Linked DNA regions of Caenorhabditis elegans. The protein of the gene in region 1 interacts with the protein of each later gene in a pairwise test. Each region holds a gene or a part of one and is shown on either strand. Other genes may lie near its edges.

Evidence for each region. The genes of interacting proteins can lie anywhere in the genome.
Region 2: the proteins of pho-1 (region 1) and gras-1 interact in a two-hybrid assay, tested with the Caenorhabditis elegans proteins (one large-scale study listed by BioGRID).

The regions. Positions count from the first base shown.
Region 1 is NC_003280.10:5,232,647-5,237,586, forward strand, and holds pho-1 (Intestinal acid phosphatase), read right to left. Parts: upstream 3,201-4,940; 5' UTR 3,187-3,200; coding exon 3,091-3,186; intron 3,044-3,090; coding exon 2,939-3,043; intron 2,729-2,938; coding exon 2,633-2,728; intron 2,586-2,632; coding exon 2,406-2,585; intron 2,160-2,405; coding exon 2,064-2,159; intron 2,013-2,063; coding exon 1,920-2,012; intron 1,872-1,919; coding exon 1,754-1,871; intron 1,415-1,753; coding exon 1,242-1,414; intron 1,175-1,241; coding exon 887-1,174; intron 839-886; coding exon 775-838; intron 698-774; coding exon 657-697; 3' UTR 516-656; downstream 1-515. Other genes in the region: EGAP2.1 (DDE_Tnp_ISL3 domain-containing protein), read left to right, coding at 103-253, 305-515; pho-4 (intestinal acid PHOsphatase), read right to left, coding at 3,664-3,762, 3,807-3,901, 3,988-4,039, 4,094-4,234, 4,472-4,638, 4,733-4,940. UniProt on the Caenorhabditis elegans protein: Acid phosphatase required for normal growth and development. Specifically required for normal gut differentiation.
Region 2 is NC_003279.8:7,834,054-7,837,484, reverse strand, and holds gras-1 (General receptor for phosphoinositides 1-associated scaffold protein 1 homolog), read right to left. Parts: upstream 1,678-3,431; 5' UTR 1,659-1,677; coding exon 1,551-1,658; intron 1,500-1,550; coding exon 1,283-1,499; intron 1,234-1,282; coding exon 994-1,233; intron 946-993; coding exon 773-945; 3' UTR 518-772; downstream 1-517. Other genes in the region: F30F8.9 (Letm1 RBD domain-containing protein), read right to left, coding at 136-257, 345-421; F30F8.1 (RING-type domain-containing protein), read left to right, coding at 2,144-2,240, 2,286-2,374, 2,420-2,671, 2,717-2,893, 2,938-3,252, 3,301-3,431.

The DNA of each region.
Region 1 (4,940 bases):
CTTGGTTGAGTACGTTGCCTTTCATTTAAGAACTCTTTGTAGGCACGTTGGTAGGCATGTTGTTCTTGCTCGTATACATTAAAACTGTAACAATTGTTTCAGGTCAAGAAGCAAACTCCAACAACTGTTTCGCTGTTGTGATGTCTGATGAGATGCCAAGTACAATTGAAAAAGTTAAAATGGAAAAAGTCAATTCACATTCATCAGTTTCAATGATCAAGACTGTTAATGAAAATTTCACCGCTTATGCAAGGTTGGTAACATCTTTAAATTTCTATTCTTTAAATTTTCTTCTTTTTTTCAGTCAAAGCGCAACATTCTTCGACGAGTCAAAAGTCTATTCAAACCCAAGTGATATGTTCTTCACAAATCTTCGCAAAAATCATCCGGAAAGTGCACTCAATTCTGAGCAAGCATTCCAAAGTTGGTTCAATGATCAAGTGGTGAGAAAAACCGAAGGAAAGCGAATGCTCGAAAAATGTGTGGAGGAGCTCAGGACATACACGACATCATAATTTAATTTTATTACGGGGGGAATTTATTTTTGAAATGGTTATGTATAACCATGTACGATCTTACGTGTATTTATCTCACTGGAACGAAGCGAATAAATTACAATTTAATGCTAATAATTTACAAATTTAAGAACAAAACAATTAAAACAGTCCTAGGAAGTTGTTGTTGATGGCAAGAATTGCTGTAATTAAATTAAAAATTAGAATTATACTTTGATTCTTTTCTAATAGAAAAAGTGAGCTTTTAGGTAAAGTTTACCTGCAATAAAGAGCATTGAGACTGTAGCAAAGCTGGAACTCTTGTTCAAATCGGTTAAGCACCACTGGAAAAGTTAACATGATTAAATTCAAAAACAAAAAAAAAACAATACCTGATCGATTGGTTGATCTGGCTTGATAGTATTGGCAAAGTTTCTGAGAATATCTAAATCACAGTATGAACTATTTTGAGGACATCCTTGAATTCCCATAGTCACATCTTTGAATCCACTTCCGTCTTGCTCGTGATATACCATTTTGAAGTATGGTTTCTTGTCGACACTATCAATGTAAAGCTCTAAAAGGACTGCAGCAGAATACAATGGATATCCACCAGACGGTTTTACAGCGTATTCTTCAATTAGAAGTGCGGAGAAGAAGGCGTAGATTGTGGTGTCGTGCTGGAAAATATTTTTTCAACATTTTAAAAATATTTAGAACCATTGTTTTATGGTAAAATTAACTTACAGCAGAGTAAATGTAATTCTTCAAATTATTAATCCATGTGCAATTTGGAGTTGTCTGACCCTGGCACATCAATTTGAGATTTATATGCATAACCATATCATTCAAAATTGGTCCACCTCTGACCTTTCGAGTTAACACTCCTACATCATGTCCGTTGACAATGTTTGGAACAGCTGAAAAATAAAATTACACTTTTATGAGTTGTTTTCTCAATTAATTGAGTCGCTCAGAGGATGGGGAAATTTGAAGTTTTCTCGGCGCCCATTTTTGACCAGCATTTGACCTAACTTCCCGTCAAAGTTTCAGTCATTTTATGTCCAACTTTTCAAAGTTTGATTTTTTTTTGATAATAAAAAATTAGTCAAGAAATGAGATACTACTGCCGAGCACACAACAAATACGTTTTTTCTTATCACTAATACGATTTAAAACTATTTAGAAAAAGCTTCAGTTACAAAGATAAATAATAACAATAGTATGTAAAAATTCCAAAACAAAAAGTAACTACCTACTTTTAAAAATTCCATTTTGGAAAAGTTGAACTTGATCATTAATTGCATCAGCTTTTGCATAGAAGGCATCAGTGAACCAATTGTTTTTTGTACGAAGAGTGGCATTATAGTAAATTTGCTGCAAATATCATATTAATGGGTCATACTTGATCTTTACTCTTTTTACTTCAATGTAAAGAGCATTGGTGATAATCCAAAGGTTATCAATGTCAACTGGCTGTCCGCAGTAATTCGTAAGATTTCCTAGCACTGCTTGAACCTGAAATAGACACGAAATATGTCAAAAATTCATGTCACTGATAAGCCTCACATCAGCAGAGTTGACAAAGCTCTTAACTTCATCGGAAGTTTTTGCAAGTTCCCATACTTGATCTTTGAATGGGCATGTAGATTCCATGTTACCCAACTGAAATTATTTAAGTTTGTTTCCTATATCGGAGTCTTCTCTCTAGCTTTTATGCCACTCTTAGTGATCAAAATGACAAAGTACAATTTTCCTTCAGTTTCAGTTTCAAGGCATTACGAAATATTTTCAGGTAAATTAATCATACCACCCTATCATTTTTCTAATCGTCTTAAACTTCACTTGCCAGCACTTTGTCACTTAAGTCTACAATTCATTTTAAAGTAATCGGATTACGGTAGCACTCACATGATCAGTGTCATCATCGACTGTATGCACAGCAATTGGGACATATCCAGCTGGCCATCCATCAACATCTGGATAATCTAGGCCTGGTGTGCTACTGTTGTCATTTTGTCCGTATTGTCCGAGCAAGTTGGACATTGCAGAAATAATTGTTCTATTAACATCAGTAGACCGGACATAGATCTTAACAAATATAATTTCACTCGGAAAGTGCACATCTATAAAATTACCTGTTTGGCGTTGTACTTGTTAGGCAAAAAGTTGTAGTTTGTGACGTAGCGATTACGGAGCATTTTACCAAGATTCAAGTGTTGTTTCATTCCTGCCTGAAAATTGCATTTGATACTTTAAGCTGTAGAAAATATATCTACTTGGATTTGTGAAAGTATTTGAGTATTTGTAAAATGTCACTAAAACTTTAAAGTAATGACCGAAGAAGAATTTGAAAGATCTGTGAAAGCTGGGAAAGCAAAAAAAGTTAAAATTTCTTCAGAACCAAATGTATTTTAGATACTTCTAATTTGCACAAAACTGACCGGGCTCAACTGTCCCCATCCACCACCTCCGAATTGCCAAGCATCCTCTTGAAATGGATCAGTTTTGAACGTTTTTGTTGGTGAACGATCTCCGTGTCTCCAAAGCTTAAAACTCGAAAAATTCAACTTCTCTTGAGATAACTTCTACCAACCGTTTGAACAAAAACAAGGTCTTTAGTACCATCAGAGTATGTAGTCACGAAACCCTCAAGGGCAAAAATTGCCACAATGGAAATGGCAGAGACCATAGTAAAAGTTACCCCTGAAAATGCGGAAAATGTGATTTAGAGTTTTGTGCAATGAAAATCAAGTTCAGAGACGAAACAAAAAACCGGAGCATGCCGGAGAAATTGTAGTAATGTCTTTTATCAGTTGGCTACTCGATGCCAATATTCGTCTCCTTCTTTTTTTGATAATGATCAATGCTTCTTTATCATCATGCCACTGATGAGTGTCCAATTCTTTAGTACAGTTTACATAGAAATTCGACTTTTATTCAAGTTGGTTTGTTCCCGGAATTTTGGTTTTTCTACAACTAGTCGCGGCTGATGCAATTTTGCATCTTCAGTAACTCTACAATAGTCGTACTTGTCACATCTGAGGAAGATCCATCTCGAACTGCTGCTTTTTTTTTGTTTTTAGGCTTCCCCAAACTTATATGTTGGACACAAATACATTTTTTATTTTATTTACAAGTATCAATATTATTCTAATATAATAAAAGATTATTTAGATGAAACAAATAAATAAAAAATTGAGAACGCCAGAAGAGATGAGAAGATTGATGAAGTTGAAGTGCTCTTCAGAATATTGACATCACACCACTGAAACCCTAATTATTTTTAAAAACTTAAAAAATCCCAATTACCTGGTTCATTTCCATTTCAGGTTTGAAAACGTCGGAATAGTTTTTGAGCACTGCCATTGGACAATAGTCGCCGCTACCCTCACATCCAGGAATTCCTAAAATTTCGTAAAATTGACATGCAAATATAATTCTTTTAGTTGAATTTCTTTGGAAATTTGACCTATTTCGAATAAAAACCCACCTGATGTAATCACATTGCTCAGAGTATCATTTTCATGACGATGGTAGATCAACTGAAAGAATATCAATCAATTTATTAAAACTAATCGATTATTTTAGAAGCTCACCTTGAAATAAGTCTGATTCGTTTGCACATCCTGCCATTGTTCAAAAAGAGCACATGCAGAATAGAGAGGATATCCACGTGGCTGCACAGCCAATTTGGCGACACCGAGCAATGAAAAAAGGGCGTAGAGGGTTGTGTCGTGCTGGAAGGATCAAAAATTTTACTTTTTACATTTACTTTTTTCAAATAACATTTGTTCAAAAAAGATTTCGTTTCTTCAATGAAAATACTACAAGTTGTGCAAAATAGTTTCTATCAAAATTGAAAGCATGTAAGCTACTATATGAAGTTAGTTTATTTTTATAAGAATCACAAAATATGAATCACAAATTTGAAATATTGCGATTGTTAACAAATCACAAAAATTATGCAAACTCACTGCTGAATAAGCGAAAAATTTCAATCGATTCGTGTAAGTACACTCTTTTCCATTATTTGATGAACATTGCGTTTTCCTATTCATATGATTGTAGATGTCATTGACTAGAGTCCCACCACGAATCTTTCGAAGAATCTTTCCAATGTCGATTCCGTTTACCATTTTTCCTGGAAATTGGAATGAGTTTAATTTTTAAGAATCTTGTTTTTTTTTCCTTCCGAATTTTTTTTCTGAAATTGTTAATATTAAAACATGTCTCACCTTCCAAACCCAAACCATTTTGAAAATCTTGAACCTGCGAATTGACAATATCAATTTGCTCAAACAAACTGTCAGTGTACCATGGTGTGAATTGTTTGAACTGAGCTGGATAATATTGTTTCTCAATCTTAAGTGCATTATAAAGAATCCATAAATTATCTGGATTAATCTCTTCTCCGCAATAATTTGTTAGATTTCCCATAAGCGA
Region 2 (3,431 bases), on another chromosome or scaffold:
GCGCCGAGACCCATCTGAATAAATCCGTGCGACTTTAAGAGAGCATGTCAAGATCTCTGAATAAAAATAAAAAAGATCAGAAAATGTCATTTTTGAATTTCAAAAGTAAGTAAGTTAATCGGAGAACTCCCTCACCTTCAAGAACAGTCCTGTGAAGTGCCAACACTTTAGGCCATTTTCCAATAAATTGTTCATACTTGTAGGTCAAGGATCCTTCTTTAGCTGGAGTGGCTGGAGGTGGACCGGCTGATGTTTGTCTGAAGTAGAACACATTTTTTAGAGGGATAATATTGAATTTAACGGATACTCAGAATAAAACAGGTTTTAATGATGAAAAGGTCTACCTAACAGCAACAAGAAAAGTAGGCGAATTGAGCACACTGTTACTGCGATGAAGAAGAATCCTTGACAATGAGTGCATCTGTTTGAAAAAAAGTAGTTTTGTCAAGGAAAAACAAACGAAAAAGTAGAAAAGGCACAGAACCTCATGGATAATTGAAATAATTGTGTCAGGAATAGTAGATAAAACTTCATGTTATTTCCTGAAACTAATAGTATAACAGGCAGGCTAGAATCATAACCATGATCACAGGTTTGTGGGAATCAAAATGACTGGAATGGGAATAAAATGGCAAATTTTGGGCGGAGACAGGAAGTTAAAATACATATATGTACAACTATGTACCAGGGATCGAAATATATAATTAGAGTATACATGTTTACCCATGAGTGTTCAGAGATAAACGTGAAAATATGAAAGACATTGATTTTACTAGAGACGCGTGACTTGGGGAGTTCCAACAGACGTGCTACTGTTGATGCGAATGAGATGGCGATAATCAGTGCCGTTTGCTTCCTTTTCTTGTGGATTTTGTACATTTTTTAGCTCCTCATCAAGTTCGTAAAGCGTGCTTTCAAGTGATTCGTCTTCCTCCTCATTGCCATCTAAAATTGTTACAAATAATCAAAATAATAACCGTAAACTCGACTTACGTTCATCGTCATATAATGCTTGCAAATCTTCTTCCGTCTTTTCGAGCATCCTCAATTCTCTAATTTTTGCATCGAGCATGAATCGTAACTGAATCGACCGCATGCTCAATTCCACGATTCTTGCTACATCTTTGAAGACCAGAACGAGACTGACTTGAAGACACTGAGCAATTGATTCGACGATTTCTGCATGGGAGGCAGTGACGACGCTTTTTTCATTGACAGCAATGACCATGTCGCCTAAAATTGCAGTAGTTGGCAGGAAAAGCTGAATTAAATGATTGAATACCTCGTGTTATCCCGCAGCGATCAGCTGGGCTATCAGCCGACACGTAATCCACATAAGTTATTCTTTCGTAACTGTTTGAAGATGTTCTTTTGAATACATATGATTGGAGAGCAAAGCCAAAGGAAGTTTCAAATGTTTGACGACATAGAAGAAGGCTCCGTTGTGCGGATTCTTGATTGATCCCATCGAAAAGATAATCATTCAGTGGATATTCTTCCTGTAGTAACGAATATTATGGTTGTTCTTCAATGGAGAATCAAATAATTACTTTTGCGTCACACAATAGTCGCTGTTCAGAAATATTGTCATCCGGCGTATCATATTTTGAAGAGCTCGAACTCGTGGAAACCGCACTATGAGCGTCGATGTGATCCATAAAAGCAGAAACTCTGAAATAACATATATTAAACAAAAAAACATGTTTTTAGAGTTTTTTAAATGTTTAAACAACACAAGACTCGAAACAAAGTCGATAAGTTGTAAAATTGGTGAGAAGATGAAAGGAAAAGCTAGAGACGAGAAACATGTACGCAAGCGCCAGATTCGACGCGCAAAGTTTATAATGGGAAATTCGGTAATAACTTTAGAAGAAAGCATATAAAATTATTAAACTTAAGTAAAAAGTGACTAAAACACAATCATCATGCAAAAAAATAAACGACTAAAAGACCAAACAAATGACTAGCGCGTGCGCACCTTTTCTTATTTGTTGTTGAAATATATGAAGGTTACGGTATTTACTGAAACACGCAAACACATGACACGCTTTCGAAATTTCAGCTTTCGAAAACTCGTTCCTAAATACTTTTCCTACTTTTGTGAAAATTCCCTTGATTTTTGTCAAAATAAGGATCATTCGCGATGAATGATTCTTATGCTGAATATATAGCACAAGTAAATGAGTTTACGAGGAATTTCTGTATGAATCCTCAGCGATATCTCGCTGGTAATCAGAGAGGTTTGTGGAAACTTTTAATGACCTAAGTTTCAAGTCGATTTTCAGATTTATCCCAGCCGCTTCCTCCACCTGTACTCTCTGGTGAAGCAGTTCTACCAACCAGTACTTCTGTTCCTCAGCAAATCGCGCAAACGGTTTTACTTTGTTTTCATATTCTGATTGATAAAATATGTTTCCAGAACATGGTTCGCTCAAGTGAAGTACCACCTCAATCTCTTCGACAGGAAATTCAATCATTTACATCGTCAGAGGTGCCCACTAGTAGTCAAGTTGCTGGAGTGAGAAACTCGTTCACACAAAGGCTTCTCCCAATCCAAGAATTGTCGAATTCCGAATCTGTCCCAGCCTTAGATACTGCGCTTGTTCCTTCCAGTTCCACTTTGGCAGCTTCATCACAACGTCGTCTTTCATCTCAATCAATTCCTGTCCTGGTTGGTTTTAACTTTTAATTCCCGTTTAATGAATTTTATTGACAGACACGCAAACTCGGTTCAGTTCAGCCTAAAGTGGATGAAGCTCCAGCTGAAATTATAAGAGAAGTGAACAACTTAAATATTCATCATGGAGCCAACAATCAGGGTGAAGTTCCGTCTTCCGAGTTGAACGCTGATCTCGATGGGGTTTTTGAAATGGTCCAGCGTCATCAGTTCCCGGTAAATTAGAGCTTTGCAGTTCTCTCAAAATTTTTTAGTTGCAGCGTCCAAGTGTATTGATTCCAGCAGAACAAATTGAACAAAGTACATGGCTTTCTGAGTCAAATGATGCTGCTATTAACATTTCTCAAAACAATGACGTCATCGATCCAAATAAAACAATACCATTCATTGCCAGCGGAAAGAGTATTGAAAACATTGATCTTCCATATCTTCCGGGTCAAACGGTTTTTCCTAACATGTTCACTGAATTAACTGCTCGTCTACGTTCCCAAGAGAGGGAAGAACTTCTCCGGCGAGAGTTGAATGAACTTAGTATGAATCAAGGAACATCAAATCAGTTTGATCAACAGCAAATGGTTTAAAAAAATTAAGAAAATGGGATTTAAATTAAATTCATTTTTTAGAATTCTCGTGTCATTCCGAATTCAATGGGTACTCTATGGGAATCATCAGAAACTGGTCAACAAGGTGGTACATCTTCCTCGTCTACCGTCCAAGCATTTCAACAAATGAACCAAACAGAGTACTGCAATTT